Linked DNA regions of Arabidopsis thaliana. The protein of the gene in region 1 interacts with the protein of each later gene in a biochemical or structural test. Each region holds a gene or a part of one and is shown on either strand. Other genes may lie near its edges.

Evidence for each region. Proteins that work in one complex are often made in the same cells at the same time.
Region 2: of the proteins of SEP4 (region 1) and MPK5, one has a biochemical effect on the other in vitro, tested with the Arabidopsis thaliana proteins (one large-scale study listed by BioGRID).

What each region holds. Positions count from the first base shown.
Region 1 is NC_003071.7:1,127,269-1,131,028, reverse strand, and holds the start of SEP4 (K-box region and MADS-box transcription factor family protein), read right to left. Parts: upstream 1,762-3,760; 5' UTR 1,408-1,761; coding exon 1,223-1,407; intron 455-1,222; coding exon 373-454; intron 305-372; coding exon 243-304; intron 172-242; coding exon 72-171; intron 1-71. UniProt on the Arabidopsis thaliana protein: Probable transcription factor that binds specifically to the CArG box DNA sequence 5'-CC (A/T)6 GG-3'. Plays an important role in the determination of flower meristem identity. Involved in the specification of sepal identity.
Region 2 is NC_003075.7:6,889,886-6,893,645, forward strand, and holds the start of MPK5 (MAP kinase 5), read left to right. Parts: upstream 1-2,040; 5' UTR 2,041-2,257; coding exon 2,258-2,430; intron 2,431-2,684; coding exon 2,685-2,814; intron 2,815-2,884; coding exon 2,885-3,022; intron 3,023-3,098; coding exon 3,099-3,431; intron 3,432-3,527; coding exon 3,528-3,711; intron 3,712-3,760.

The DNA.
Region 1 (3,760 bases):
AAAACGAAACAACGATTTAGGATGAAAGATTCGAAACAAAATTTGTCGATTTTGTAAGCTTAGAAATATACCTTGGTAGATCTTATTTGTCTTAGTGATGCATCTACTTGGCGTTCGAGATGCTCAAGCTCATTCACATCCATCTCGGATAGCTCTTCACCTAGCAAATGCCTAAAAAGAAGAAACATTTAGTAACAAGAGCATATATAGTTACATTTAGATGGACTAGGATATATAAGTACCTTTGTGAATGTTGAAGGATCTCAACTCTTGATTTAAGCTTCAAGTAGTCTTGATACTTATCCTGCCAATTTAAAATAAAATTAAGGACAACTTTGAGGTCAGTCTTTGATTGAAAGAGAAGATATGTACCTGCAAGTCTTTAGCTGATTGATTTGGATCCATTGTTGCATAACTATGTTTTCTATACTTATCAACCGTCCTCGCCATACCACTTTTCATAAAAACAAATGATCATTTTAACTTTTAACATATATTGATAAACCAAACTTTAAATTTCATTATGAGAATAATATAGAAAAAAAACCTTAAAAGCATCTCCATGTAAAAACATCAAGAACATCAAAATGGGTATCAATCTCATGATGTTTGTGCAAGAAAAATAAAATAAATTTATGTGGAAATGATAAGTAGCTAGTGAAATTGAGTATCATCACAGTTGTCTCTTTATAACTTTAATAAGATCATAAGTAGTACTTGAGAGAGATACTAACTTAAAGAAGTAGTCAAAGTATTTTTTATATCTTTTACAGCTTTGTGTATATATCCAGAGGTCAATTCTTAGTCTCTTTGGAAACTCTGATCAATCCTTTGGAAACAATATCAACAACACTCAATCTCATGTGTAAAAGCTTTAACTATATTTATATATGCTCTATAGCTTCTACACATATCTACTGTACTTTTTTCAGCCATAGTCTCTACTCTCTAGCTTTAATCATCATCTAGAGCAACTTAGACGCTTTGTACGTACTTTGATCATCGTTCACTTAATCTCACTCTTTACGAGCCAGATTTATGCGTATGAACTCACAAAATAAATAAACCGTAGTTAATCAACTAATTAATTGTAACTAAATCAAGAAAGACAACAAAGTTTTCATATCCTTTATAATCCTTAAGAATCAAAACCCTAACATGGATCAAAATATAGAAACTTTGAGGGAAAAAGTAGATATATCAAAGATTAAAGAGTTTTCACCTAGGGCTGCTGCAGAATTCGTAGAGCTTGCCACGGTTAGAGAAAATGAGAAGAGCAATCTCAGCATCACAAAGGACAGAAAGCTCATAAGCCTTCTTGAGCAAACCATTTCTTCTCTTTGCAAAAGTAACTTGTCTATTGATCTTGTTCTCTATCCTCTTCAGCTCAACTTTCCCTCTTCCCATCCTCTCTTTTTCTCTCTTCTCTCACCAAGAAACCAAAACCCAACTGAAAACTCTCCTCCTTTTTATCACTAAACCAACAAGTAATGAAAAAGAACCTTTATACACACACACATCTATATCTAGATAAAGTGTATAAGTAAATGTGTAGAGTGTATATATAGATCTTGTCTCAAAAGGATTCTGGTTCTTAATCTAGGGCATGAATTGGTTTCCGGTGACTAGGTGGTGGTGGTGGAGGAGGAGATTGTGGTAGTGGTGGTGGTGGGCCAACTGTGTTCAGGTTCTTCTTTTGTTGAACTGATTTTTAAGAGAATATAGCTTTGTGTTGGTTTTGCAGAGATGCTAAGCCATTCTTGGCCAAATAAATGCTTCCAAACTTATATCCAATCTTATCAACTTTCCTTTTTTAAAAATTAATATAAAATATTATAAATTCTAAAAAGTATTTTTGTGTAGTTACATTATTTTAGTCTTACTTCATCAGGGAATATATATTATTATTAATTTTCTTTTACACTTTTGTTTTTGCAGAAAATAAAAATTGATTCCTAGTACTTTTCTAAGGAGAGTTAAGATCTTTTTTTCTCTCTCTCTATAGTCCAAACAAAATGCTTCAACTTTTCTCTTTCACTCTCCTCCATTGGATTTTTTAAAGATAATATTTACACCATAATATATAAATAGATTGCTTTCTTTCATCAGATCTAGTCCATAGTTTAATAATATGCTCAAAAAAGAAATAAGAAAAAGATTCTAAATATAACCTATAAAGATGCCTTAAATAGAGCATATTCACAAGTCCAAGTCCTATCTAATATCTGGTTATGTATTGTTCATGAAATGAAAGAAGTGCAAATAAAGTTTTGTTGTTTTTTCAGGTATTGACACGTTTAGATTATGTAGATAACACTTATAATGTATATTGTGTGTGTTTGTGAATAAAAGTAAGAAAATGATAGGCTTCTAAAAGATATGTTTTTTTCTGCTTATGCTTTGCTTCTCTTGCCGACAAGTTCTTTCGTATGACAGCTACTTCACGATCGTTTTAATGCATAAAACGGATCTATACGGTTACAAACAAATTATGTCACTCTGAAATGGTTAATCTGATATGGTACTATTTACTATTTAAAGAGAAAATTTATTTACAAAGGTTTTTACGTCTCACATGCACTATGTCTTTTTATATATATATGGTGAAATTTAGATATTGAAATATATCATGTTTTTGTTTTCTTTCCAATTTCTGAAAATTTAGTCACGTTCTTGTTCAATACTATAAAATCAGTCCAATCATGTTTTTGACACTAATATAGATGTGTAAGAATATGCAATCTAGCATTTATTAGAGGGTTTCGTGTTTAGGTTCTCTTCTTAAGAAGACTGATGTATTTTACTAGTTAATCGATTTTCATAAAATACAGTAGAACTCACATAACGACTCTAGATTTATTTATAACAATAACTCGTACATGCTTGACACAAAAATTGCAGATTGATCTTGGCAAGAAAAAGGAAAATTGTTTATGAACATTTAAGCTCTCAAAGCCTTAGTGTTTTCAACTTTTTTTTTCACTTTAAAGGTTGGTAATTGTTTGACAGGTTAATTTTTTAGGATGCTTCTTGTCAGGTTAATTTGTTTTTCCTCACTTCTTCTCATGGCATCTTATACTATCTACATCATGATGATGATGGTTGTTGTTAATTTACTCATGTGATATGTCTCACACAACTTTTTTTTTAACTTTGCTTGCTGACTCATATTTCACTTGGTACCTTAGTTATTTTGTTCAACTTCTATAGATCGATGGAATATTAGTTTTTTTCTTTCTTTCTTTTGGGTACTATAAATCTTGTTGATGGAAACTTGATGTATATGCGCATGTCTTATCCAGATTATCATGTAAAATGATCCTTATCTTCTACGCACTTGCTATCCTCCACCATTCTTTTATGGTTCCAAGTTGTGACCTTACAACATGCAACATATAGATTGATGCTTTAGGAAACATCTAAAAAGAATAAATACGATATAATACTTGCAATGTGCTATTCCATCTTTTATATGGATAATTTAGGTAGATAATACACAACTTTAAAATGTCTAGTTTAGAAATGATCTCTGATAAAATTATATATATGAAAGTTGGCCAACACTCTCCATATGAGTAACACATCATCACACCAATGAGTGCCACATGTCATTCTAAATTAATATCATTAAAAAATAACAAAACTTAGTGATAAAAAAAAAAAAATCACATTGCATTGAATCACCCATTAATCCCATTCTTAACTAAATGTCTTCATCAAAAAGAAAAAATATGAAAAATCATGTTAATGTATTAAACAC
Region 2 (3,760 bases), on another chromosome or scaffold:
TATAACATTCATATTTTTCAAAATAACTATATCTTAATAGAAGTCTCACGATTCGATACTTCGATCGACCACAACCAGACGTAGTCTCGTGTGATTGTGTGACTAACTTTAAAAACAACAATAATGAAATCAAAACACGAAAATCTAATTCTTACGTCCTTGTTTTTTAAATTCTCTTACGTCAATTCTTACCTTTGCGACCAAAAGAACATGTTAAATTTAAACCTACTAATTTCCGATTTAAATTTCTTAATCTTGTTACTATGAACCAAAAATTACACAATCTTTTCCCACGGAACAAAGATTATTTATTAGTATCCATATACATACAAATATACAATACACTCAAGCCACTCATATTTCGTACTTGATCAAGATATTTTCCCCCGGTAAAATCCAATTTAGAATTGTACAACATATATATTGGAAGTTCCGTTGTGTCATACCGTCACACTAATAATACAGCATACCAATAATAGAGCGCAAACGTTTCACATTGAATAGTTCACCACATATCAACTTGAGTAAATTATTATGCTTAGAGTTGTTGTCTTTTTGTTTTTTTATTTTTTTTGAATATCTGGAAATTCAAACTCAAAGACCTTACATTTTCTAGAGGCGGGATCCACACCAGATTAAATTCATATCCTTTGGGAAAGAAATCTCTTCCAACATGCCTCAAACCCAGTATTTCTAACTGAGAGATTTACCTACATAATTCAACAATCATGTCTATTATGTTTTCAATTTAGGATATCTAAAAATATTGTGAAGATAAACGAAACAAAACTTGAGGGAAAAAAAACAGTCACGTGAGTCATGAGTTATAAAGCATGGATAATGTTGGAGATCTAATTAATCTAATTGAATGCCACATCAAATTAAGCCAATCAGTGGAGAAGATCAATAATAAAAGTGAATTGGATCTGCCACTACACTTTTAGCATGAATATGGCTAAAAGAGATTGGTATTGGTAATGGTATCGTTGTCGGAGATTGTCGTACCAATTAAATAACATGTAATTATTGGATATATATTATATTGTGTCGGCCTAGTCATATTTGATGTGTAAGTGCGAGTGATTTGAGTTAGATATGGGGTATTTTACGAGGAAAATATTGAACAATTTAGGGTATTTTAAGGGTTGTAGTTTGAGCATCACAAGTTAATTATATTTAGGTTCTGCGTAAATTTGACTCAAAAGATTAAGTTATCAAAAGAAACCTCGTATAATATGATCCATATTAATTTTCTTTTTTTTATATAGAAAAGTTGAAGATTATGAGTAAATTGGTAAACTCGCGATATTCCAGAGTTCAAAACGTAATTTTAATGACAATTTGGTGAATAGTATAAATTAATATATTAAGTAAAAGATAACATTCTATTCGATATTGGTTTAATATGTCAACTGTTATATGTACATATAAGATGTTACTGATATATTAAGTGAATAATATGATATTCACCAAAAAAAATTGTATAATGAATGTGACTTTGAGTTGAAAGTTTGAAAACGAAGAGACTATAACATTTGAAGGAATCTATGGAATACGGGTGTGGAACCAATAGTGGAGGCCCTCTTCATAAACCGAGTTTCCCGAGATCCAAATTGTGCTGATGGAGCGGTTTCTAACGTTCTTGTCGATAATACTTGCAAGCTTGGCCGAAGGAACAGAAGAGTTACCATGACGTCTACCATTACGCTCGCACCACAAAGTATGAATTGATTATATGGAATACATACCTTAGAATGAAAGTATGTAGTTTTGGATGAGAATCATCAAGTAGAAGAGGAGAGATTAAACTCCAACTTGTATTGTATCTCAGTATCTGTTGCGAAGAATTCCTTTAGTGAGAGATGTGTATTGATAGGTGAAAAGGAAAAGGTCTCTTACTTTCATATTACGTGGGCCTCATAACATAGACCAGAGCTGATAGCATACCTCTCTCTATATTAAATAGATGGGCCAGGCCCAAACGTTTACCCATCTGTATTTATTACAAAGTACACGTGGCTGATGGACATGTGACGATACGTTTTGACCTATTCAAAATATTCAAACTAATGAAAAAGAGTCGTTGTCCTCTGACGCGTCTCTCTCTATCTCCTTAGATTTTCAAAGTTTTCAACATTCAACAAAATCATTATTTTAATTTTGCAGAGACGAATCGAATCGATCTCATCTCCAAAAATCTTGTATTCAAAGTTTGATTTTCTGGGTTTCTTCTGTATTATCTCGATATTTGAAAAAAATGGCGAAGGAAATTGAATCAGCGACAGATTTAGGTGATACTAACATCAAAGGAGTTCTTGTTCATGGAGGAAGATATTTTCAATACAATGTTTATGGAAACTTGTTTGAAGTTTCTAATAAGTATGTTCCTCCTATTCGACCTATTGGTAGAGGAGCTTACGGTTTTGTCTGGTACAACTTCTACCCTTTTGTGTATTTCATATTCTTGTTTCTTACTTAGTATTTGTAACCCTAATTAGATAAAGAACTAAGTATTGGTATAGGTTTTTGAATTAGGGTTGCTTGCAAAATTTGATCTTTTTTGGATTTAAGAAAGGTTCTGTCTTCAAAATCATAGTTTAAATTGAATGAATTTGATGATTTGTTTGTGTTTGTGTTTATGTATAAGCAAAATGATTCATGAGAGTATTGGTTTATTGTTATAGTGCTGCAGTAGATTCGGAGACACACGAAGAGATTGCGATAAAGAAGATAGGTAAAGCCTTTGATAATAAAGTAGATGCAAAGAGAACATTGAGAGAGATTAAGCTACTTCGTCATTTAGAACACGAGAACGTAAGTTTTGTACTCTATTTTCGCGGTAAACGATTAGAGTTTCTAGCTAATGTGGTCTTGACTTGTACAGGTTGTTGTTATAAAAGATATCATTAGACCACCAAAGAAGGAAGATTTCGTTGATGTTTATATAGTTTTTGAGTTAATGGATACTGATCTTCATCAGATTATTCGATCAAACCAATCTTTGAATGATGATCATTGTCAGGTACGGTTTTTACTCTGCTATATTTGATACTATGGTTGATTTAATCACAAGTGATTCACTTTTTCTTCTTTTGCAGTACTTCTTGTATCAGATTCTACGAGGACTCAAATATATTCATTCAGCAAATGTTTTACATCGTGACCTTAAGCCGAGTAATTTGCTTTTGAATTCGAATTGCGATCTTAAGATTACTGACTTTGGTTTGGCAAGGACTACATCAGAAACAGAGTATATGACAGAGTATGTTGTAACACGATGGTACAGAGCACCAGAGCTGCTTCTTAATAGTTCTGAGTATACATCTGCTATTGATGTATGGTCTGTTGGTTGCATATTTGCTGAGATTATGACAAGGGAACCGCTTTTCCCGGGGAAGGATTACGTTCATCAGCTTAAACTTATCACTGAGGTATGATGTTCTGTTTTAGAAAGATCTGTACAAATGTTGGAAACTTTTATTTGTGTGTTGCAATGTGTTTATGAGTTGTTTCATGTGGTTGAGTAGTTGATAGGATCACCTGATGGAGCGAGTCTAGAGTTTCTCAGAAGCGCGAACGCGAGAAAATATGTTAAGGAGCTACCTAAGTTCCCAAGACAAAACTTTTCAGCTAGGTTTCCTAGTATGAATTCTACAGCTATCGATCTACTAGAGAAAATGCTCGTGTTTGATCCAGTAAAACGTATCACGGGTATGATGAGAAAAATTGTACATAGCGAGATTGGCATATGGGTGATGAA